Linked DNA regions of Pelodiscus sinensis. The protein of the gene in region 2 interacts with the protein of the main gene of each other region in a pairwise test. Links are inferred from orthologs where the notes say so. Each region holds a gene or a part of one and is shown on either strand. Other genes may lie near its edges.

Region 1 (7,894 bases), on a different chromosome or scaffold from region 2:
CAGATATTTTTCATCAATATGTATGTGGATAATGAAAAGGACATTTATCAATAGTTACTGATACAAATCTAATCCTTACAAGCCTAAATCAAGGCAGAAGTCTGGGACTTCTTAAAATGTGAGTTATTGACTCTTAGTAGATTGTAACTACTCCAAAAACAGTATTATAATCTATCATGTAAATATAGTGATTTTTTGAAATATGGATTATTAACTCAATAGCAAATTAATTCTGTGTTGTTGTAAAAGCCCAGCAGGCATGTAGAATAGACACTTTTCTACACAATATAACTAAATTGCAGGGACGAGGGGGGGGAGAATCAGTTTAAAGAGCAAAGTATTTGCAAGTTCCAGGAAAGTAAATATGTATACAAAGTTTCTAACTTCCAAAGCATTTTAGTCTTATAAATGAAAAATAGACAGAATATTTCTTTTTACATCTACAAAAAAGTATTACGTAAAAGATGCTTTGTTTTCAATGCTTAAATGCTGAGGAAATTTTTCTGACCAAGTTTCCCTGAAATCTATTCATAGAGAATACACTCAACAGCATCATCACAATAAAGTGTATCACGCATAAGACTGCAGATTCAAGCATTCAGCACCTCAATTTTGATAAAATACTCAGCTCTCTCTTTCTGGAAAAAACTGAGATGGAAAACGCTTTCAATATCATATTTAGTATATCAACTTCTCTAAATCCAGAACAGTTTAGGAGCTTGTTAAGCAGCTAAGTCCTATTAAAGCAAAGTAACAGTTTCTTCCCTAATCTTGAACTTTCAGCGACAGTCAGAGAAAAAGTAGCTGATTCCTATGCCCTGTCAGACAGTAGCATTAATAATCACCAAAACAAAAGGAAACACCTCAAAATATGTATCTGCTTATAATTAATCACTACCCCAATGAGGTAAACCTGGCAGAAATGACCTGCTTTCTGCCTTGATTAGTCCTTGTTAATAAGGGGAGCATAAATTAGAAATAAGAGGATTGTTATCGTTATGGATTTGGAATATGTGTCAGACTCATATGGCAGTGAGCCAGTTTCTCTGACGGACTGCTGCTGCTGTATCTCTCACAGCCACCTATGATTTTATAATAGGCATTTTTTAAAACTCGAGTCTCTTTCTCTCTCTATTTCTCTCTCTTTTCTTCCTCACAATCCAGTCCAGTTATTTTTAAGCCCTAGACGCTCCCTGCTCATAACTTGCATCTCCCGGTTCAATTCAGGTTTGTCAGCTGGGTACCCGCATGTCTAGGATAGTACATAAACTATCACACACAGACTAACCGACCTGGGCTCAATTAGTGCAGCATTTTGGACACATTCGAGTAATCAAGAGGCAGAAATTTAGTTTCGTCTTCATTTAATTGAGAACACATATTTAGCGAGGGATCGAGAATTTTACATAATTATTATTAATAATTATTATTATTCTCGTAACGTAATTTACAAAAGAGTGGAAACGCCTACAAGGAGATGAAGTACCTGCACTGGGGAGATGTTCAGTTGTTCACTTCATCTTCCGTTGACAAGGAAACCAACCCGCACTTCATTCTCCAGGAAAACCTTCCACTGCCATCATTTTAAAATGTATTTATTTGTATATATGTGCATATCTATCATCATAATCATCATAATAAAATTATCTCGGTAAAAGAATAAAAAAGTCAAATGTGCAAAAGTAACGATCATTGCTTTGGCTTTTTTGTTTGTTTGGCTTTTTTAAGGAGGAAAAAGTATTAAAAAATGATCAACTCTAACAAGCTGCAAGAAAAGTTTCACGTTATAAACGGGCATCAAAGCAAAAAAGAACAAAAACTGCTGATTGCACCGAGTGTCAAAAAAAGGAAACAACCAAAAATAATAAAATTAACATCTTGCTCAGTGGCCTGCACCAGTATTGCAAGATCACAAACTCTTTGTAAACACTGCTGTAAAATGCATTTGCAATTCACATCTATATACAAAAAAAATAAAAATAAAAATGAAAAAACATCAAAACAACATTTGGAAAAATTCTCTGCAAAAGAGTTAGAAACATGCCTTTTCTCCTCATCTTTAAAAAAACGCACAATATTTCACATTGCTTTCTTTTTCTCGGGCCATAACAAAACCAGTTGCATATCTAGAGCTAGCGCTAATAATTGTATATATAGCTATATTTTTGCTGGACTGGTAAGTCTTAAATGTTATTGCATTGCTCAATTCCCAGTGACTCCCAGCCCCAGCAGCACCTTTTGCTCACAGTCTAGTAACCATCGCATGCTAAGAAGAAGAAGAAAAACAAAAACAAAAACAAAAAACTTGGCATCAGAAAAAGGATCAAATCCCTGGAAACAATAATCAAAGAGGAAGAAAAAAAGAAGAAAAATAAAAAAGGAAGAAAAAAACAGGACAAAAAAAGAGGACAAGAATGTCAGCGGAAAGGTACTCACCGAGCGGGAGTAAAAGAGAGGAATAAAAATGAGTTACTATAAAATACAGTATGGCGGTGGAAGAAGGAATGAGGCGCTTCCCCCCCCCCCCTCCTCTCTAGTCTCTGCCTCAGGCAGCGGACACGTGATTCGCAGCCAGGCTGACTCGCAGGCAGGGGGAAGGGGTTCGCCCCGCTGGAGCAGCCCAATTCACTCCCACGGCGGTGGCGGCGGCAGAAGCGAGCGGGAGGCTGGAGCCCGCAGCTAGCGGCAGGAGCTGGCGCCTCGGCTGCTTGCGCGGCGGCAGCAGCGCGAGCCAAGCAGGTGCCTCTCGCCCCAGCGCCACGCGCCGCACACACACCCACCCACACACACACACCCGCGCGGCTAAGTCAGGGGCGCGGGCGAGCGAGGCGGAGGGGAGTTGAAAGCGGAGACCGTGCGAGCGGGAGCAGCTGCCTGTGTGTGTATGTCGGAGCTACAACTTGCTGCCTCCTCACCTCAAAGTTATCGCTGCAGCTTCCGGTGCTCCCAAATTACCTGCTCCATAAATCTCCCCTTCTTTCTAGGTTGCCGAGGGCCGGACTGAGTGGCAAGTGTCAGTGCAAGTCAGCGCGTCTCCAGCGCCGCTCGCCACTGCACGGAGGCAGAGAGGCTGAGCGGTCGGTAGCTGTACTTTCTGCTGGGGATGGCTCGGCTCCGGCCAAGTGCAAGCCCCAAGCGATGCTTGTCCAGAGCGTGCTCACATGTTCACGTTTGCAGCTGGACAGAAATTAGAAAGTGCCGAGAGACGCGTTCATTATTTCTCTACTTTGTTTTTGCTTTCCTGGCCTCTGCTCAGTGTTTGCCTTGGTGCTGAGGGGGGCTCTTGTTTTTAATAACAAAGTTATTGGCAGAGGCAAGTCAAACAAGTGACTCCAGAAGAGCTGTTCTGGGAGAGCGCTTTGCAGGCAGCCTGTGCTAGGCAGGGAAGCAGCAATGCATCATCACGCAGACGGCTAGTTCCTCGGCAGGTTAACTCTTTCAGCTGGATGGTAGGTGAGCCTGTTGTTCCGCATCCTTGCTCATGTTTAACGGGATCCTGTGTTAGCTAAAGGGCATTCCCTATAATCAAGGATCCCTTCCTGTGCCCCTCGCTCTCCTGAGGTTTTATTCAAGAGTGACTAAAGCATGGTGTTCCAGACTATAAAGTAAGCAAGAACTATCCCAGGCTGTCACTCATACTTAAGACTGTGTGAGAGTTGTGTAGGTTTTTTGTTTACTTCAGAAGGGGCCATCATGATCATCTAGTCACAAAGCTATGTGCATTCAAACCAGGAATACACTGTGGGGGAAGTCTTCAAATCTAGGCTATATCTACTCTGGGAAAGATTGGCAACAAAAGTGTGGTCAACATGCAAAAGTGCCAAAAGTGAAAAATGGTCCAACTGGTTTTTCTGCTTCCCATTGTTGACATTCCATGGCCATATTGCTAGTACCTCCATGGACCCGCATCCCACAATGCAGTGTGTGGGAAGGCAGAGCTGATACCTGTGCTCCTTAGTTCTCCCACAACATTCTCAGATGCTGAGAGCAGCTCTGTGAATTCTCCATGCAGAGGAATGTCAAAGCAGCACAGCAGTCTCTCCAGTCTGCCCCCTGCAGTAGCAATCTGCCTGCTGCTGTGTTTCTAGCGGGACAGAACAGAAGCATTACAATGATTTGCTCTTTGTTTTTTCCCCAAACAAAGCAGCTCATTCAACTGTCGGATATTTCTCAGGGCTTTGAAAGATGAGGGGTGCATGCCTGCAGGGTAGCAGAGCTCACAAACCACAGCCATGGAAGCAGGCAGTGTGACAGAGGGAAGTCAGTTCTCTGGGGAAAAAAAGCAAACAACAGAGTCCACACTAGCTCTTTGTCGAAAATAAAAGGAGAGGAAAAGACAAAAATCTCTGGCAGGACTGGAAGTTTTTTGTTGCCAAAGCTAGATGTTTTCCCCAACAAACGTAGCACTGCAGTGTAAACACGCTTAATGTTTTGTTGCTAAAAGGCAGTTTTGAATGACAAAACATGCCAGTGAACACAAGACCCTAGATTTAAAGACTCTTAAGTTACCCACCATTTATTTTAGTTCAAACCAGCAAGTGATCTGTGTTCCATGCTGCAGAGGAAGGAGAACTTCCCTCCCCTCAGGTTTCTGTCAATCTGACTTAGGGAAAACAATCCTTCTCAACCCCAAATCAATTAGCTTAGGGGTGGGCAATAATTTTTGACAGGGGGCCACTCCAAGATTTTGGAAAGTGGTCAAGGGCCGCACTCTTCCATGATGTTAATGGAGGAGATGTGGAATCTGGGATGGAGGTAGGGTACAGAAGGGAGCTTGGGGTAATTGATTGGGATGCAGGAGGAGATTAGAGTCTGGGAGGGAGTTTGAGTGAAGGAGGCAGTTGTAACCTAGGGCAAGCAACTGAAGTGCAGGGCTTGGGGATGTGACCTAGAGTAGGAGGGTAATGTGATCTGGGAAAGAAGATTGGGGTGCCAGATCTGGAGAGGGTTTGGGTGTAAGAGGGGGACAGAGGGTTTGGGTATGTTGAGTGGGAGTCAGAGGGTTGGGGCAGGAAAGTGCTGGGGTGCTAGAAACAGGGTGTGGCCAAGAGACTTGCCTGTCAGCTGCCAAACTAGCCTGCCTGCCGAGCTTAAAACATTTCCCAGCCAGCCAGCCTGCTTCCCTGGCCATGTGCTTCATTGAATAACTGAGCCGAGAAGAGAGAGCATAGTTCTTCTTGGCTGCCTGTTATACTAACAAACAGCTCCCATTGGCTGGTTTCTAGCCAGAAACCAGCCAATGGCAGCTCCTGAAACTTCCCCCTTCCCTTCCTGTTTCAAAACAGAAATGGAGCCCTGAAGCCTCATTTGTAAATGGCACACGGGGCTGCAGGGCAAGCAGAGGAGCCTGCCTGGGGCTCCCTGCTCCCTCAGCGGGTCAGATCTGGTGGATTGGTGGGCCAGATCCATGCCACAGGCTGTATTTTGCCCAGGCCTGAGTAAATCCTCCACATTTGGGCAAGACCCACCAGCCAGATGCAGCCCTCCTTGTCTATTGTCTTCTTTCTGTCTTTTAGAGATATTTACTAATAGCAGTCATGAATGGGTCATGTGTCCTTGTGGGTAGTACAATGATTAACATCATCATCAACCATCCCCTCCATAAACTTGTCAAGTTCTGTCTTGGAACAATTTTTTTTGTTTTTTTGTTTTGTTTTGTTTTGTTTTGTTTTCCCCACAGTTTCCCTTAGAAGGCTCTTCCAAAATTTCACTCTTTGGATAGGCCTCAGAGGAGAAGTCATGCTAGTTTTTATCTGTAAAAATGTGGAGTCCTGTGGCATCTTAAAGATTTATTTGGGCATAATATTTCGTGGGTCAAAACCACTTTGTCTGATTTATGGAGTGGAAATCACAGAGGTAAGAAGTAGGGATGTAAAGGGCTAACCAGTTAACAGACAGCCCACCCGGGTTGGAGCAGACCCCCACCTGATGCAGCCTGGGGGGCGGATGCAGCCTTGTCATGGGCAGCGGTCATTTTAATCCAGCTGAGCCCACCATGCCATACCATGGCTGAGGAGTGGTCAGCCCAGCATGACAAGATAGGCCTGGCCAGGCTGGAGCAGCTCTCCAACCATGGCATGGTATGGCAGGCCTCGCCCAAGCAGCCGGTGGCATGGCAAGGGGCCACCCAGACCAGCTGGGCCCCCCGCCTGCAGGATCCTGGTTAACTGGTTAAATGTAACATATAAACCTCATATAACATATAAATGTTATGTGTAACATAAATGGCATTTTAGTCGGAAAATATATATCTTACAATAGATTTTAGAAATGTGTGTATGTCTGTCTATCTGCCTGTGAGTCTCTTCAAGAACTCCTACATAAGAACGGCCGTACTGGGTCAGACCAAAGGTCCATCTAGCCCAGTATCCTGTCTACCGACAGTGGCCAGCACCAGGTGCCCCAGAGAGGGTGGACCGAAGACAATGATCAAGCGATTTGTCTCCTGCCATCCCTCTCCAGCCTCTGACAAACAGAGGCCAAGGACACCATTTTATCCCCTGGCTAATAGCCTTTTATGGACCTAACTTCCATGAATTTATCCAGCTTCTCTTTAAACTCTATTATAGTCCTAGCCATCACAGCCTCCTCTGGCAAGGAGTTCCACAGGTTGACTACACGCTGTGTGAAGAAGAACTTTCTTTTATTAGTTTTAAACCTGCTACCCATTAATTTCATTTGGTGTCCTCTAGTTCTTCTATTATGGGAACTAATAAATAACGTTTCTTTATCAGCCCTCTCCATACCACTCATGATTTTATAGACCTCTATCATATCCCCCCTCAGTCTCCTCTTTTCTAAACTGAAAAGTTCCAGTCGCTTTAACCTCTCCTCATATGGGACCCGTTCCAAACCCCTAATCATTTTAGTTGCCCTTTTCTTAACCCTTTCCAAGGCCAAAATATCTTTTTTGAGGTGAGGAGACCACATCTGTACACAGTATTCAAGATGTGGGCGTACCATAGTTTTATACAGGGGCAGTAAGATATTCTGGGTCTTATTTTCTATCCCTTTCCTAATAATTCCTATTTGCCTTTTTGACAACCGCTGCACTCTGTGTGGAAGTTTTCAGAGAACTGTCCACGATAACTCCAAGATCTCTTTCCTGATTTGTCGTAGCCAAATTAGCCCCCATCGTACTGTATGTATAGTTGGGGTTATTTTTCCCGATGTGCATTACTTTACACTTATCCACATTAAATTTCATTTGCCATTTTGTTGCCCAATCACTCAGTTTGGTGAGATCTTCTTGGAGTCCTTCACAGTCTGCTTCTGTCTTGACTATCCTAGACAGTTTGGTATCATCTGCAAACTTTACTACCTCACTGCTTACCCCTTTCTCCAGATCATTTATGAATAAGTTGAAAAGGATTGGTCCCAGGACTGACCCTTGGGGTGCACCACTAGTTACCCCTCTCCAATCTGAAAATTTACCATTTATTCCTACCCTTTGTTTCCTGTCTTTTAACCAGTTCTCAATTCAAGAAAGGACTTTCCCTCTTATCCCATGGCCATGTAATTTACACAAGAGCCTTTGGTGAGGGACCTTGTCAAAGGCTTTCTGAAAATCCAAGTATACTATATCTACTGGATCCCCCTTGTCCGCATGTTTGTTAACTCCTTCAAAGAACTCTATGGGTATGTCTACACTACCCCGCTAGTTCGAACTAGCGGGGTAATGTAGGCATACTGCACTTGCAAATGAAGCCCGGGATTTGAATTTCCCAGGCTTAATTTGCATAAGCGGGGAGCCGCCATTTTTAAAACTCCGCTGGTTCGTACCCCGTGCAGCGCGGCTACACGGGGCACGAACTAGGTAGTTCGAACTAGGCTTCCTAGTTCGAACTACCGTTACTCCGCGTGAAATGAGGAGTAACGGTAGTTCGAACTAGGA
Region 2 (8,038 bases):
GCCATCAGCTACACCAGCCTCTTGTGCGTAGCCGGCTGGTTCAATACTCACTGTTCAATGGAAACAGCAGTCTCAAGCTGATGGTGAAGGAGGCTCTTCAGCTGCCGCTCTCCTTCTGTCTCCAAATCCTCCAGAAGAAGGTCATCACTAGACAGGCTGCTGTTGACCCTGGGCTCAGAAAAAAAACAGCGAGTAAGTCAGTAAGTTGCCGAGAGTGCTTTACTCCCTACACCTCCACATCAAGCGTATTCATATTCTGCTTTCCAGCCCTTTGTTAGAACACAAGGAAATCAGTGAGATAGTCCAGATGGGCTATCCAGAACAAGAGGGAACTAGAAATAACCGGCAAGGCAGAATGCCTCACTGATGTCCATTAGAAAGATGCACAGATGATTTTTAAAATATCCCACAAGCATCATCTTTTTAGTCATCCGTCATCCTGTAATGTTTAGTTACAGAAGATCTACTTTCATAAATGACTCCTGCCTAGCTTCAAATGATTCAGTGCAAAAAGGAAAAAAAAGCAACCTCCAAATCAAACACAAAGCCAGCGGAGACGGTCAAAGAAAGCAGGAAGTTGGCGGCATGCTAGAACGTAGTTACAAACTGGATTAGCAACCGGCCTTTCTTAAGGGAGAACTTGCTCCATGCATGGAATAGTGCCCCACGTTTGTTATTTCGTACCGAATTTTAAAGGCCATTGTTATCTACTGTTCTGTGATTGTTTCCGTCTCTCAGCGCCTGTACCAAGGTCAGAATAGGGGACGGGAAGAAATTGCTGATTTACTTCTCAAGCCCCATTCACAATCTTAAAGGCTGTTTCTGCTGAAGTGGTGAGCAGTGAAATGGTAACAGCGCAGACGTCTGACCCGTATTACGATTTAGGCTTTAATACTGTATTGGTATGAATGAAGCAGCCCACTACTATCTTCGGGCCGCTGTTGTCAGGCTGCCTCTCAGCTCAGGCGGTGAGCCAGGCACTGGGCAACATCTGGGCTTCTCCACAACAATCACAGCTAGAAACTTCCATTTGTTTTGAAATGAAAGCTTCAATTCCGTTGACCCCTAGAGACGCGCTGGTATAAGAGCAGCCACACGGATCAGAGCAATGGTCCATCAAGGCCAATATGCTCTTTCTGACCTTGGCTGGTACTAGATGCTTCAGAGGGAATGAACAAGACAGGGCCAATTTCAATTGATCCAGCCCAGTGTCCAGGCTTTCTGGCAATCAGAGGTTTCAGGACATGCTCATCATGGAGTTGGGCTCCTGATCACCTTGGCTAATTGGCACTGATGGCTCTATCCTCCATGAACTAATCTCTTCTGAACCCAGTTATACTTTTGGCCTTCACAACAGACTTTGCAAACAAGTTCCACAGACTGACCGTGCATTGGGTGAAGACCTACTTCCTTATGTTTGTTTTAAGCCTGCTGCCTACTAATTTCATTGGACGACTCCTAGTTCTTGTTATGTGATGGGGTAATGCCTTCCCGATTCGCTTTCTCTGCACCATGCGTAATAGTATAGACTTCTGTCATATCTGCTCATAGTCATCTCTTTGCTCAGATGCACTGTGCCAGGCCTTTTAATTTCTCCTCAGAGGGAAGTTGTTCCCTTATCATTTTTGTTGCCCTTCTCACTGCTTTTTCCAGTTCTTGTATTCTTTTTAGAGGTGGGGCAACCAGAACTGCACCCAGTATTCAAGGTGTGGGCATATTTGTACAGCTGCATTATGATCTTTTATTTTATCTTCTATTATTGGTTGTCGTGCCAGCTTAGTCTGGAGCCCTGTGTTAAACTGGAACTTCCTTTTAAAAAATCTCTACCAGAGTTTGCCCTTGGGAAAGACGCCCCCGCATCTCACCGAAGCTTTTAGCGTATCGTGTCAAGGGTACTGAAAGGGACCGGAGATGTCCTTGCCCTGTCTTGCTTCCAGGCTTTAAGAAAAACGCTAAGTATTGTGGGATTCGCACAAGATACAATCACAAGTGTTGGCAACGCTGGGATTCCTGTACAAACAGCTGCCTGCATTAGTCTCACAGGAAACTGTGTACAAGGAAACCATCCCCCCAGAGCGCCCTCAACCCCCACTCTTCCTCCCCCAGAGCACCCCCAACTCCACAGCCCCTACCCCCCATCCTTCCTCCCAGAGCACCCCATCCTTCCTCCCCCACCTCCCCTCCGTGCACCCCGAACTCCACAGCCCTCCATTCTTCCTCCCAGAGCACCCCATCCTTCCTCCCCTACCTCTCCTCCCCTGAGTGCACCCCAAACTCCACAGGCCCTACCTCCCATCCTTCCTCCCAGAGCACCCCATCCTTCCTCCCCCACCTCCCCTCCGTGCACCCCGAACTCCACAGCCCCCCATTCTTCCTCCCAGAGCACCCCATCCTTCCTCCCCCACCTCCTCTCTGTGCACCCCGAACTCCACAGCCCTCCATCCTTCCTCCCATAGCACCCCATCCTTCCTCCCCCACCTCCCCTCCGTGCACCCCGAACTCCACAGCCCCCCATCCTTCCTCCCAGAGCACCCCATTCTTCCTCCCCTACCTCCCCTCCCCTGAGTGCACCCCAAACTCCACAGCCTCTATCCCCATCCTTCCTCCCGAGTGCACCCCGAACTCCACAGGCCCTACCCCCATCCTTCCTCCCCCACCTCCCCTCCGTGCACCCCGAACTCCACAGCCCCCCATCCTTCCTCCCAGAGCACCCCAATGCTGCATCCCCAGCCTTCCTCCCCCCGCTGCCCCTCCCCTGAGTGCACCCCGAACTCCACGCTCTCCCCCCCCCCCCCGCATCTCCCTTCTTCCCCAGCGCAGCGCCCGTCCGGCTACATGATTCCCGGAAGCCTCCCCCTCACCTGCGCATGGCTCCGGCCCCTTCCAGCTCAGGGCCTGGACTGCAACTCCCAGCAGCACCGCGCAACCCGCGTGAACGAGCGAGGCGGGCCCCGCCCCATGGGCTTCTGGGAGTTGTAGTACAGTGAAGCTCAGCCCTGCCCCCGTCGCTAACCCGCAGGGGAGTCCTGCAAGCTGGCAACACGGGGGCCTGTCCTCTTCTTCCCTGCGCCCAGCCCTGCTCCCCATGCAGCAGATCCCAGGGGCTTCCTCACAGCTAGATTGGGGTGCCTGAGCCCCAGCATGGCCTGCTATTAGTCAGCATGTTGAGTATGGTGTGACAGGCACCAGCCATGATCGAGCCAAGCGCCATACAGACACCAGCAAGTCCTTCTTACACTGAGGCTGGGTCTAGACTGGCAAGTTTTTCCGCAAAAACAAACGCTTTTGTGGAAAAACTTGCCAGCTGTCTACACTGGCCGCTTGAATTTCTGCAAGAACAGACTTCTTACTGTCTGAAATCAGTGCTTCTTGCAGAAATACTATGCTGCTCCCGTTCAGGCAAAAGTCCTTCTGCGCAAAAGGGCCAGTGTAGACAGCTCAGATTTGTTTTGCACAAAAAAGACCCGATCGCAAAAATGGCGATCAGGGCTTTTTTGCGGAAAAGCCTCTAGATTGGCACAGATGCTTTTCCGCAAAAAGGGCTTTATATGTATAGCAACTGCAGGCCTGTTCCTGACCGGGCACTAGTGTAACTTCAGGGGGTAGCTGAGTTAGTCTGTACAGGATAAACTTAAAAAACAACAAATAGTCTGGTAGCACTTTAAAGACTCACAAAACATGTGGATGGGATCATGAGCTGTTGTGGTCTGAAGAAGTGGGCTGTGCGCACAAAAGCTCGTGATACCATACGTTTTGTTAGTCTTTAAAGTGCTACCAGACTATTAGTTGTTTTTTAAGCTTATTAACCTCAGCAAACATCAGGAGCATCAGCTCAAGTGATGGGTCAGCTAAAGTGATAGGACAAACCAATGGAGAGGGAAGGGTAGACTGTATTACCAGCTCTATCTTGCAATCTTATAAGTCAAGCCTGCCGAACTCGGAAAGCAACAAGGGCCATATTACTCCAAAGAAGACAGCTGCGGGCCACAAGTCTACACTTGGCCCCATGACATTTCGTCTCTCCTTCACCCTATCCCCGCTTGGTGTCTTCCCCTTTCTCCTGACCTGCCCCTCTCCCCTCAGCACAAGCCCCTTCTCCTCCCCTACCTGGCTTCTGCCTTTTTGAATCCAGCGATCACTGACCGTGACATCATGTCACGCCAGCGTCCTGGCATCTGCCAGCATCCCGCCCTCTGGCTCACACCCCGCCTCCTCGCGCCAGAGCTGCACCTAGGCAGCCTGGTGGCGATAATCACACTTCCCGCTCCCCTTCTCTGTCCAGCCAGCGGATCGGATGGGGCCACACAGTGAGCCCCTGCGGGCTGCATGTTGTGCAGGCCTGATGTAGATGGTATCATGAGCTTTTGTAGGCACAGCCCACTTCTTCAGACCATGACAGCTCACAATACCATCTACAAGTTTTGTTAGTCTTTAAAGTGCTACCAGACTATTGGTTGTTTAAGTTTATTAACCTCAGTAAACATCAGGAGCATCAGCTAAAGTGATGGGCCAGCTAAAGCGATAGGGCAAACCAAGGGAGAGGGAAGGGTAGACTGTATTACCAACTCTATCTTTCAATCTTATAAGTTGGCTGGAGACAGTCATTTCTACTCCATGACGCTGAGTTAGAGAGCACTGAGAAGGGAAGCTGCATCTCTCCAGCCTATCAGCATGCCTGGTGTTTGTTTTCTTATTAGTGCAACAGTAAATTCTATACACCTTGTATCTGAGCAAATCTTTGTACAAACTAAGCTCAATCCAGTTTCACCACCTTCCTACAAACAACATATAAATTCAGTCTAAAACAACAAAGAATATAGATGTCCACTGCCACTTGCCCCCATGGTCCACATATGGTATAGAATTCATTGAACACTACAAGTGCTCAAGAATAAGACCCAGATCAACAAATACATTCAGGTTCCTAATTTCCACTGAAGTCAAATATCTTTGTGGATCTGGGGCTAAGTTAAGGTGGACAATAAGCATCCCATGGGCTGAGCCACAACTTTCCCCAGCTCTCATTGGCTGGGAACAGCAAACCATGATCAATGGGAACTGCAAGAGGCCATACCTGTGGACCTGCAGGTAAATAAAGTATCTGGCAGTCTGCCAGAGGCTAACCGTGGCAGACCACATGTGGCCCATGGCTGCTTATTGCCCACCCCAGGGCTAAGTGTTGCTGAAATGCCAATTTTCCTCTGAAGAGACAAGGTGAGTGAAGTAACATCTTTCATTAGGCCAGCTGATGTTGATGCAAGACTATGTTCAAGCTATATACAGTGTGACAGCACGTTGGGGTTTTCCCGTTTCCTGCACCCCCGTAATGGCACGGACAGACTCCACCAGCCAGTAGAATAGAGGGCGTTTATTGCTCCTCCAGGATACAGCACAGCACAGCACAGATGTAATCTGGTTACAGGGCCTGGGGCTAAGAGGCCTCAGTGCCCCTCCTTGAGATGGGGGGTAGCTGGGCCCTACAATCCCAACCCCCTCCCTAGCTCCTTCTCCCCTGCTTCCCAGACAGCCACTAAAGACCCGTCCCTGCCAGCCCTGCCCCCAGCCAGGGGCAGCATTCCACCTTCCTTTGTTCCGCTCTCTGGGGGGTAACTGGTCGAACAGGTCACCTCCCTGTCCCATCAGCTACTCTACTGGGCCGTGGTACAGACAGCAGCCAGTGTGGCTCACTCACAGCCCAAGCCTAGCAATCAGCAAGGTACCCCCACTAGTCACAAACAGCTCTTCAGGTCTTGGAGTAACTCAAAAACTTGTTTCTTTCACCAACATCAGCCTGTCCAATAAAATATATTTATCATCTCACCCACTTTCTCTAACCCTAGGGACCAGGACACCTCCAACAATTTACCTGCAATCTCATGATCTTTGAATCAGAAAAGAAAATGCATAGAATTATGACATCTCAGAAAAGACTGGGATACAAGCATGAAGGGAGCACCCAACTTATTGCAGATGGCAGAATGCAGGCCGTGGTTTCAGAAGTGGAAACAGGCCCAGTTTAGCATGGATTAGTTTAAGTAAACAAGCAGGAACCTTTGTTTTAATTTACCACTTTCAACCTTGTTTTACATTAGTAGTTTAGTTGGTTTGCTAAAGAGAGGCTGATTCTTATTAGAGCAATGTTATGCAACAAAATACACTAAATGTGGTACTTTTGGCTCATCAGGATACACTATTTATACACATTTAAATCATTTTATATCTTACAATAAAAGATTAATATTTACTCAGGTCAGAAAATGGTAAATAGTACACTTCTTTAGTAGATTACATTTTCACATGTGATTGCTGTCAAGCTCTATTTATGGAATGTGGAATTCAATTAAAAATGTCCCCGAACCCCAACATTTTAGTTTTATTTAACCAAAGAAAAAACAAACTTACAAGTGCTAGATACATAAGAAAAGAAGTTTATCAAAACCTGTTTGCATTTAAAACTTATTAAAACAAAGGAAGTATTATCTGTACTTGAATGGAACTATTGCTTCTGGTCACCATCTGCTCACACTTTGTCATAGAGTGGAAGAGAAAACAAGCAGGCCCTGGCTCCACCTCAACTCCCAATCATCTTAACATTTAATGAACTAATCACTGAACTGAAACAGTTGAATAAGCTGAAATGAACTAAATGTTATCTGCACAAGAGGCTATTGCTTTCCAAAGCTGGTTTACCACTTTAACAAACTGGTTAAAGTCACTTTGCCAGTGACTTCCATCAGTTTGATGATCTGACTCAGTGGCAAACATGAAATAACTTTTTCAAAATGCAAGTAATACAATAGCATATGCAAAGCTTAGATCTGAATGTACATCGTCATAAGTCCGATTTTAATGTAATACTGAGCTGGAGAGGTTATCCCTGTCACTTCTTGGGGTTTAAAATATTCTAAAAAGTCAGCAAACAATAACTGAGTTAAATGAATGAAACATATGTACAAAAAAAAATTCACAGAAATGCTGCAGAACTAAGAAGCTCCATGCAATCTATGGTGTGAATCAGTATAGGAGGTTTGACACAAAAAAGCACTTTATTAAAACAAAAAAACACCAAGAGGATATCACAATTTTACTCCATTTTCGCAAAGTTTTTACATAATGGCTATCCAGTAAATATTATAGCAGTAGCGATTTCTTGGATTGCTCAATCAAACGTGATCCGAAAACTGCGTTCCTGTTCCTTTCGGCGGCTCTCGCAAACTTTCGTCACCTCCTCCACTTTCCTCTGCAGCAGAGCTGTTGGGAGAGTGCAAAAAAACCCACAATACATGCATGTTTTTCATAAGAAGCATCCGTGGGCAGTACAGATCTGGAGGAGAGAAGAGTGTCCCAAAGACCGAGGATCAAAGGTTAAGACAGGTTTTGGAAAAGGAAGGGAGATGAAACCCAGCACAGGATACTGCTGATCTGCTCAAAGTACAGTACACTGGATGGCTAGGATGGCAGAAGAAACCAAATGGACAAGCCTAAGAGGACATTTCAGCCACTGCTCCAATCTTCCTTGCTCACCCAACTTCAATTTGATTTACGTCCGAACAACAGAAATTAATTACCTTTTCAGCATTTTTTTTTTTTTTACCAAGTCAGAAACTAAACACTTGCTAAACCTAAGTAGCCAGATCTGGCTCCGTACTTGAAAATACACAAATCACACTTCATACACTATCCTCTCAGCTCCCTTCATGACCTATAATCCATTCTGCTACAATTTTCAGTGGTTACTTAATTAACCGCTTTTTAACATCCCTAGTTACAATTGTCTAGAAAAACTGATTTGTTTTCATGAAGTGGCCCTGAAGGTGTTTTAGGGAATGGGATTTACAAACTTGTGAAGAGTCTCTGATTCTAGAAACTACACTGCACCCAGTCCCATCAATGGGACAAGCCATTTTGGCTGTCAAAGAAGGGGATATGTGATGGATGAGTATAAATAAGAACATTTGTTGAACACCCCAAGGGAACAAAAGAAGCATAAGAACCATTTAAAGGAAAAAAAATACATTTTGTAATAATAACTGCTTCT
Region 3 (7,371 bases), on a different chromosome or scaffold from region 2:
AGAAATATTATTACAATAATGGGTGTAAATTCAGAGGTGAATGCAGTCTCACTGAATATTTCAAAATAAAAAAAACACCTTTGCCCTGTGTTTCATAAAGGGAGGTGGTTGCATATGATGATCCTAGAATTCCATTATTTAATACTGATTTGGATAAGCTGGAAGGAAAACCACCACCTATTCTTGCTACAGGTAAGAGTAACAACTTTTCTGCAGGTATTTATACACTGTTAAGTATAAAGTTTGACCTAACTACTGCTTTGAAGTTGTAACTGCTACATATCACACACGTTGAATGTAAACATAAATAGGTTATATTTGACAAAACATCAACCTATAATGTTCAAAAGGATGTGCTTAAAATTAGTCTCCTAAATAAGTCACCTGATTCTCAAAAGTACAAGCATTTGCTCAGCAAATCATACTAACTACATTATACTGTGTAGAAAATTAAATGCATATGCTTAGCATTAAGCACAAGAGGGACAGACTTAGGCCAGAATTCAGCAAAGCACTTCACCATGTGCTTGACTTCAAGCATGTGAATATTCTCCTTCAACTTTATTGGGATTTCTTTTGTGCTTAATTGAAGTTCAGTGGGAGACTTGTGTGCTTTAAGTGCATGGATTAGTGTTTTACCTAACTGTGGGTGGGGCTAAAATTATAACTGAGAAAATGCTTACAATAGGATTGATAATATGATAGCGGAAGAGTATCTCAAATATTATTTGTTAAAACTGGAATTACTAAATGTAATATTTGTTTCTAGGAGAATTAGTATAGTTTAAAAGTTTAAGAACTTTAACATCTCATGATTCTGTTATAGAAACTTTTGAATAAAGTACACATCCAACTATGACATATAGGCCTTACTACTTCAGTCCTGGGTTGTAGGAAGGAGAGGAAAATAGACTTGAAATATCAAATTGTTGTATGACAAAAAGGAAGAATTTTAAAATAAAATTAGCTACCATAAATAATAAAACTTTACTTTTTCCATTGTGGGCAAACTCTGCATCACACATCTGCCACTTACGTGAAAGTTGTAGCATTGATTGAATTTCACAGAACATTTCAGTGGTTGATAAATGAATTTTTGGATTTCTTAAATTGCACATGCCCTTCAGCCCAATTTAAATAATGCCCAGAGGAGATATACTATATGTGCCAATTATTCTTTCCTTTCTTATGTAATAGAAGGTAAATTCAAGGCTTTGAAGATGGAATTCTCTCTTCCCCCATCCACTTATGCTACCATGGCAATTCGAGAAGTTCTAAAAATGGACACAAGCATAAAAAACCAGACACAGCTGAATACTACATGGTTACGCTGAACAAATGCTCTAAAGTAATGTAAAGATTTTAAGATGTGAAAATTTATTTGTTCTGTGCAAACTCTAGTTTTGATTTGAAGATTTGTAGCAAAAATTTATATTTTACTTTTTTATTAGTTTCAGTGATTATATCCAAAATGGTGTTTGTAAAAATAATATAAATATTAGATTTTTAACATTATGATAAGTAAATAAGGTGCTTGAGCTGTAGCACAACCAACCATATCTTACAAATAAATGGGCTTACAATAGCAATTCCAGATCTTCAGTAATTGTTTTTCCAAAAATACAGTGATTATTCAACATGCTTTCATGAATTCAGCACAGAATAAAACTTCTTGAAGTATGCTTACATTACAGATGAGGAATGCTAATTAGAATAAGTATGGCACTGATGAATATTTATAAAAAGGAGTACATTAATGTAGCCTTAGAAGGCCAGTAGCTTTAGCACTGATGTGGTAAAGGAGTCTACTGGCAGAATTTTTTGTGCCTTTTATGTGATATAAACATGTACATCTGTTTTTATAAGTTGAGCTGTAAATTTTATTATGAAAATATTTGTGTGCATTTTCCCTCATCACTAGTACTACCTGTATCAAAGAACAGATAATGAAAACAAGTTAACCAAAAAGCCCTGATGAGAGTTCATATCAACTCCTTTGCACCAGCATGATTAGTGTGTCCGTTGCCGGCAATGGATAAGGAAAGCAAATCTGTGTCTTGGCATAAAAGGATTAAAAAGCCATTCTAAAACAATTGACAGCAGTTAGGTTACATTTTTACTTTATAATTTCTAAAACCAAACAAATAAGAAACCTGTTTGTGCTTCTTGTGTTAATAAATTGTTAAATATGACACTTTGCACTGTCATTTTTATAAAAAACTGAATAAGATTTTGCATACCAACAATATGAAAATGTTAGCACCTCACTTTTAGGAAAATATGCAGTGTTGCCAGCCCCATACGGTAAGAGAACCTGCTTTAGTACAGAAATAAAAACCCCTCTGACCACATACACCTCTAGTTACCGCCTTTCTCCTCCCACCTTGAACCCATATGGGTATCAGAGAAATCTTTCATGAGCCTTTTTTTCTCACCTTCAAATAACCTCCCAACCTCTCTATGGTCATAATTAGAAACCAGGATATAGCAGATCAAAGCATGAGACCCAACCAGAACAACTGAATCAATCCTTGGATGCATAGCTCCACTGTTACAATGATCTCTCTCACACACATGCACAGGCACACACGCCCCTGTCACAATAGAGCAAAGGCTTTGATACGATCTTCCACAATATTCTTGCTAGCAAGTTAAGGGAATATGGATTGGATAAATGGACTGTAAGATGGATAGAAAGCTGGCTAGACTGTCTGGCCCAGTGGGTAGTAATCAATGGCTCGATGTCAGGTTGGTTTTCTAGCGGAGTGCCCCAAGGATCTGTTCTAGGACAGGTTTTGTTCAACATCTTTATTAATGACCTGGATGAAAGGATGGATAGTTTGCAGATGACACTAAGCTGGGGGGAAGGGATAGGGTCCAGAGTGACCTAAACAGATTAGAGGATTGGGCCAAAAGAGATCTGATGAGGTTCAACGAGGACATGTGTAGAGTCCTGCACTTGGGACGGAAGAATCCCAGGCATTGTTACAGGCTGGGGACCGAATCGCTAAGTAGTAGTTCTGCAGAAAAGGTCCTGGGGATTACAGTGGATGAGAAGCAGGATATGAGTCAACAGTGTGCCCTTGTAGTGAAGAGGGCTAATGGCATATTAGGGTGCATTAGGAGGAGCATTGCCAGCAGATCCAGAAGTGATTATTCCCCTTTATTCAGCTCTGGTGAGGCCACAACTGGAGTATTGTGTCCAGTTCTGGGCCCCCCACTGTAGAAAGGATGTGGACACATTGGAGAGGGGCCAGCGGAGGGTGACCAAAACTATTAGGAGGCTGGAGTGCATGACCTATGAGGGAGAGACTGAGGGATTTGGGTCTGTTTAGTCTGCAGAAGAGATGGGGGATTTGATAGCAGCCTTCAACTTCCTGAAGGGAGGTTTCAAAGAGGATGGAGAGAGGCTGTTCACAGTAGTGACAGATGGCAGAACAAGGAGCAATGGTCTCATGTTACAGTGGGGGAGGTCTAGGTTGGATATTAGGAAAAACTATTCCAGTAGGAGATGGTGAAGCACTGGAATGGGTTAGTAGGGAGGTGAAGTCTCCATCCCTAGAGGTGTTTAAGTCTCGGCTTGACAAAGCCCTGGCTGGGTTGATCTAGTTGGGGCTGGTCCTGCCTTTGGTCTCTTCCAGCTCTATGATTCTATATGAGCCTCCCGTTAACTGCAAAGAGGCCTAGAACCCCCTATGCCCCCAGCCCCCACTTTCCATTGACATAACGGCTGCAGTCCGGCAACCCAACCGCAGGGCGCGCAGGCGCGAGTTCGCAGCGTCGCGAGACAGGACGTGATCCGCTCCCTCCCTGTGCCTGGGGCTCGGAGACCTAGGGCCAGGCTCCCCCAGACCCACTGTCCCCAAAGCGAGGCATCAACCGGCTCAGCTCGCGCCGTAAAATCCAGAGCGTCCTCGCGCTACAGATGGCGACAACGACATAGTGACACGAGCGGATTTCTCACCGCGCATGCGTCTTGAGTGGCAGGGCTGTCAGCACGTGATCTTGATGGGCTGGACAGAGGCTTCCGAGAGTAATAGCCTTCCGCTTCCCCTCCTCCCTGACTCTGCCCACTTCTCGCGGGACTCCGCGAGGGTTTCCGGCCGCCCTTAGGCGGCTATAGGCAGGGACGGAACTGGAGAGGAGAGGGGGCCGGGCAGCTTAGCCCAGCCCAGCCCGTAGGCGATCAGTGGCGCGTGAGTAAATCGGGCCCGTGCCCTGGCGAGCCGGTAGAGCGGCGCTCGCGCCTGATGTCAGCGGGTGAGGGGGACTTAGCTCCCGGCAGGCAGCGGGGCTTGGTAGGGAGCAGGGCTGCATGCGGGGGCGCTACTCGGTACCATGGGCGGGCGAACAGCGTGCGGGGCCAGAGGGAGCGCGGCAGGCTGAGGAGCCCCCGTGGTTGGCGAGACGCTCTCTTCTCCCTGTCAGAGCGGGTGGGGTGGAGGAGCAGCAGCTACCCTGCCTCTCTCTCCAGTGAGCAGCGGAGGGGAGGAGGGTTTGCTCGAGTCGCCCTGCGTGGCGGATCGTCATTGTGCGCCCGCTTCTCTGGAGCAGTGGGTCGTTAAGACTTGCTGAGGGTTTACACGGCGCGGGAGGAGTTTTAGTTATGTCGCTGGGAGGAGTGGGGTGAAGTGAAAATGCCCCCCACACACACACACGTTTACATTGTTTTAAAGCAGTGTCTACATCTAGGTGTAGAGCCGGGCCAGCTCTATGTTGACAGGCAGCACTCTCCTTCTGGTATAACTCCCGCTTCTCCTTGAGCTGGAGTAATTAGTCCTCAGGCAGTGTAGCATCTTCGCCAGACTCGTTACATTAGGGCTGCTGCATTGATGTAGAGGCGGCCAGTTTGGTACAGTAGTGCAGACCTGCCTTGAAACTGGGCCTGTTCTGCTTAGCTCAACATCATGCATTGAACACTAGGAGAATGTAATTACTCTGGGCCTCATAATCCAGAGTCCAGAACACAGTGCTGTCTGGGGCTTGGTCCAAGATGGTGGAATGAATTTCTACAGCAATTAAGAGTCACCACAAGCCGTGTGACCTTTTGCTTTCAGTAAAAGGTACTCTGTGTAGATCTGCAATTTTTAAAAAATGTATAAGCATTCAAAATAGTCATGCAATGAGCATGCCTAAGAGTAATGAAAAATTTGAGTGGAAATAGTGATTGGTAAAATGATTTTGTTATAACATACTTTTTAGTATGTTATCATATGGTAATAAAGGCTTTATAGAAATTACCTTCTGCGATCATGCTGTAATATCATAAGTGAAAAACAATATTCCAAAATATTCAGTCTTTGTCTTCAGAGTTTTTCAGTTAAGACTATATATAGGCTAGTAGTAGTGAAATAGATTTTAGGTAACAGCAAAGTTTTCTTCATGACATTAGGTTCACAGTAGTGTCCAAGACAGGGCTACTCAACATGCGGCCTGGGGCCGATGGATGGGAGCCGAAACAAAAAAGTATTCTATATAATGGTCTCCTGTTGATATGCGTTTTAGTAGTTAAATTCCTGGACTGTCATTGTTCATTAAAAGTGCTCTCATATGGGTGGAAATCGGATAAATACTGCATTTTATAAATAGCAGAACTGACTTAAATTGTGCCTGTGTGTTGTGTAGTCTTGCCTTAATCTTTGTATTCATGTCTGTCAGTTTTAAATAAGCTATTGGCATATATTTGCATATATATTTGCATGTGTATGCTACCACAGTAATGTTGCGGCCCTCAGCACTTGCTGTGAGTATAATTGTGGCCCCTGGGGCTTCCAGAGTTGAGTAGTGCCGTCTAAGGCATGTTCATAGTTAGAAGAAAGAAAATAAAACTTGTGCTATAAAAAGTAGGGATGTGAATATTAAACCAGGTAACTAGCTGATGTTTACCAGGACACTCCTCTATTAGCAATGATATATCCACCAGTTAAAAGTGCTGGAACATTTTTACTATGTGTAGGGGTGAGGGAAGTCATCTGTACCTATTCCAATATTTTTATACATACCATCTAGCACAGACGTAAAAACATTGAATTTGGTTTTAGAAAAAAATGCAGTATTCTGAGTGAAAGCTGACTGATTTCTCTGCATAGTTGGAATGTTTCAGTTCTGTTGAGTGATATAATGGTATAATGTCCTTAGTAGTGTGTATAATAATATCATTTTGTAAACTTAAGCCCTGGTTCTGCCAAGACTTATGCATGTGGCTATCTTTAAGCATTTGTGTAGTTGAATGGAAGATGGTATTTTTAATTGATTTGAACTGAATTGAAATTTTTAAGATGAAATTTTGTTTGGCCCATTACATATGATGGTTTATGGTGGTTAATAGTGCTGTGTGGGTGATGGCTAACCGTAGACTCTTTAACTCAGTCCTGCAGGTGATGTAAACATGGCGGCCATTAATGTTGGAAGGGAACAATTCGTTAGAGACCCCGATAGCTGTGACATCCCTTATTATGTAGCTGAATTTGTTGAAAGAGAAGTTGGAACTGACCTTAATTGCCTAAGGAAACTTGGCAAACTTATAGAGGAGCTTTCAGAAAATAAAAAGCAATTAGAGGAACAGGTAAGCATTAGATTAGTTATTTCTCAAGTCCTTAAAACAATAAAAATGTACCATCAATTGCATACATCTGGTCACATCAGCACATTTTGGTAACTTGCCACACAATGTCAGCTAAGCTGTCATGTTATGATTATCTCTTGCACTTTGTTATGCATGAAAATCTATGAAAGACACATTTGTTTGATCACTGAAAGAAAGGTCTCAGTACTTCTGTGTCAGATGCATTGCTCCTTCCTAAACACAGGTACTTACCGTTTCATCAGAAGTTCCCAAAAGAATTCAGAAGGCCTTAAAGAATGCAGAGGATTCTAAGACGTCTCTTAATCAGCTTCTGGAGGAAGAAACTGTTTTATTTGGTTCAATTAATAGCCACCTATTGACAGCTCAGCCATGGATGAAGGATCTCGGTGTACTGATTAGTCAAATAGAAGAGGTTGAACGACACCTGGCTTATCTAAAATGGATTTCACAAATAGAAGAGTTAAGGTAAAATAGTTAGAAGGCCAGGTTGGCCTATCTTGTTGCCTTGTATTTTGTTTAGAGCTTAAGTGGTGTTAAATACATTTGAGACAATTTTGGAGTTATAAATCTGTATTTTTAAATGCAGACAGTTATAACTCTTGCTAATTCAGCTACCGACTGAACATTCAGATCTCATATTGATAATGCCATTACTTTCATTTGTAACTAAATTTGGTGATGTATTTTGGACATGGGAATGAAAGGGTCACAGTTTACTGTCTAATGTAGAAAATGTGGCGTTTGTCACAATTGAATATAAACTCTGTATCTTCACTATTTATTTT

What was found.
Region 1: the proteins of RBM41 (region 2) and RALYL interact in binary tests that used the Homo sapiens proteins (3 or more experiments, as listed by UniProt). The two-hybrid records come from large-scale screens. The link is inferred for Pelodiscus sinensis from reciprocal best matches to the Homo sapiens genes RBM41 and RALYL.
Region 3: the proteins of RBM41 (region 2) and RINT1 interact in binary tests that used the Homo sapiens proteins (3 or more experiments, as listed by UniProt). The two-hybrid records come from large-scale screens. The link is inferred for Pelodiscus sinensis from reciprocal best matches to the Homo sapiens genes RBM41 and RINT1.

The regions. Positions count from the first base shown.
Region 1 is NC_134712.1:47,014,414-47,022,307, forward strand, and holds the start of RALYL (RNA-binding Raly-like protein), read right to left. Parts: upstream 3,053-7,894; 5' UTR 2,916-3,052; intron 2,740-2,915; exon of another isoform or gene 2,437-2,739; intron 1,574-2,436; exon of another isoform or gene 1,487-1,573; intron 1-1,486.
Region 2 is NC_134723.1:4,116,989-4,125,026, forward strand, and holds the start of RBM41 (RNA-binding protein 41), read right to left. Parts: upstream 3,003-8,038; 5' UTR 2,870-3,002; coding exon 2,862-2,869; intron 169-2,861; coding exon 52-168; intron 1-51. Other genes in the region: NUP62CL (nucleoporin-62 C-terminal-like protein), read right to left, coding at 7,160-7,251. UniProt on the Homo sapiens protein: May bind RNA.
Region 3 is NC_134711.1:25,491,241-25,498,611, forward strand, and holds the start of RINT1 (RAD50-interacting protein 1), read left to right. Parts: upstream 1-4,309; 5' UTR 4,310-4,315; coding exon 4,316-4,473; intron 4,474-4,503; exon of another isoform or gene 4,504-5,063; intron 5,064-6,369; coding exon 6,370-6,565; intron 6,566-6,809; coding exon 6,810-7,051; intron 7,052-7,371. Other genes in the region: PUS7 (pseudouridylate synthase 7 homolog), read left to right, coding at 101-192, 1,198-1,334. UniProt on the Homo sapiens protein: Involved in regulation of membrane traffic between the Golgi and the endoplasmic reticulum (ER); the function is proposed to depend on its association in the NRZ complex which is believed to play a role in SNARE assembly at the ER.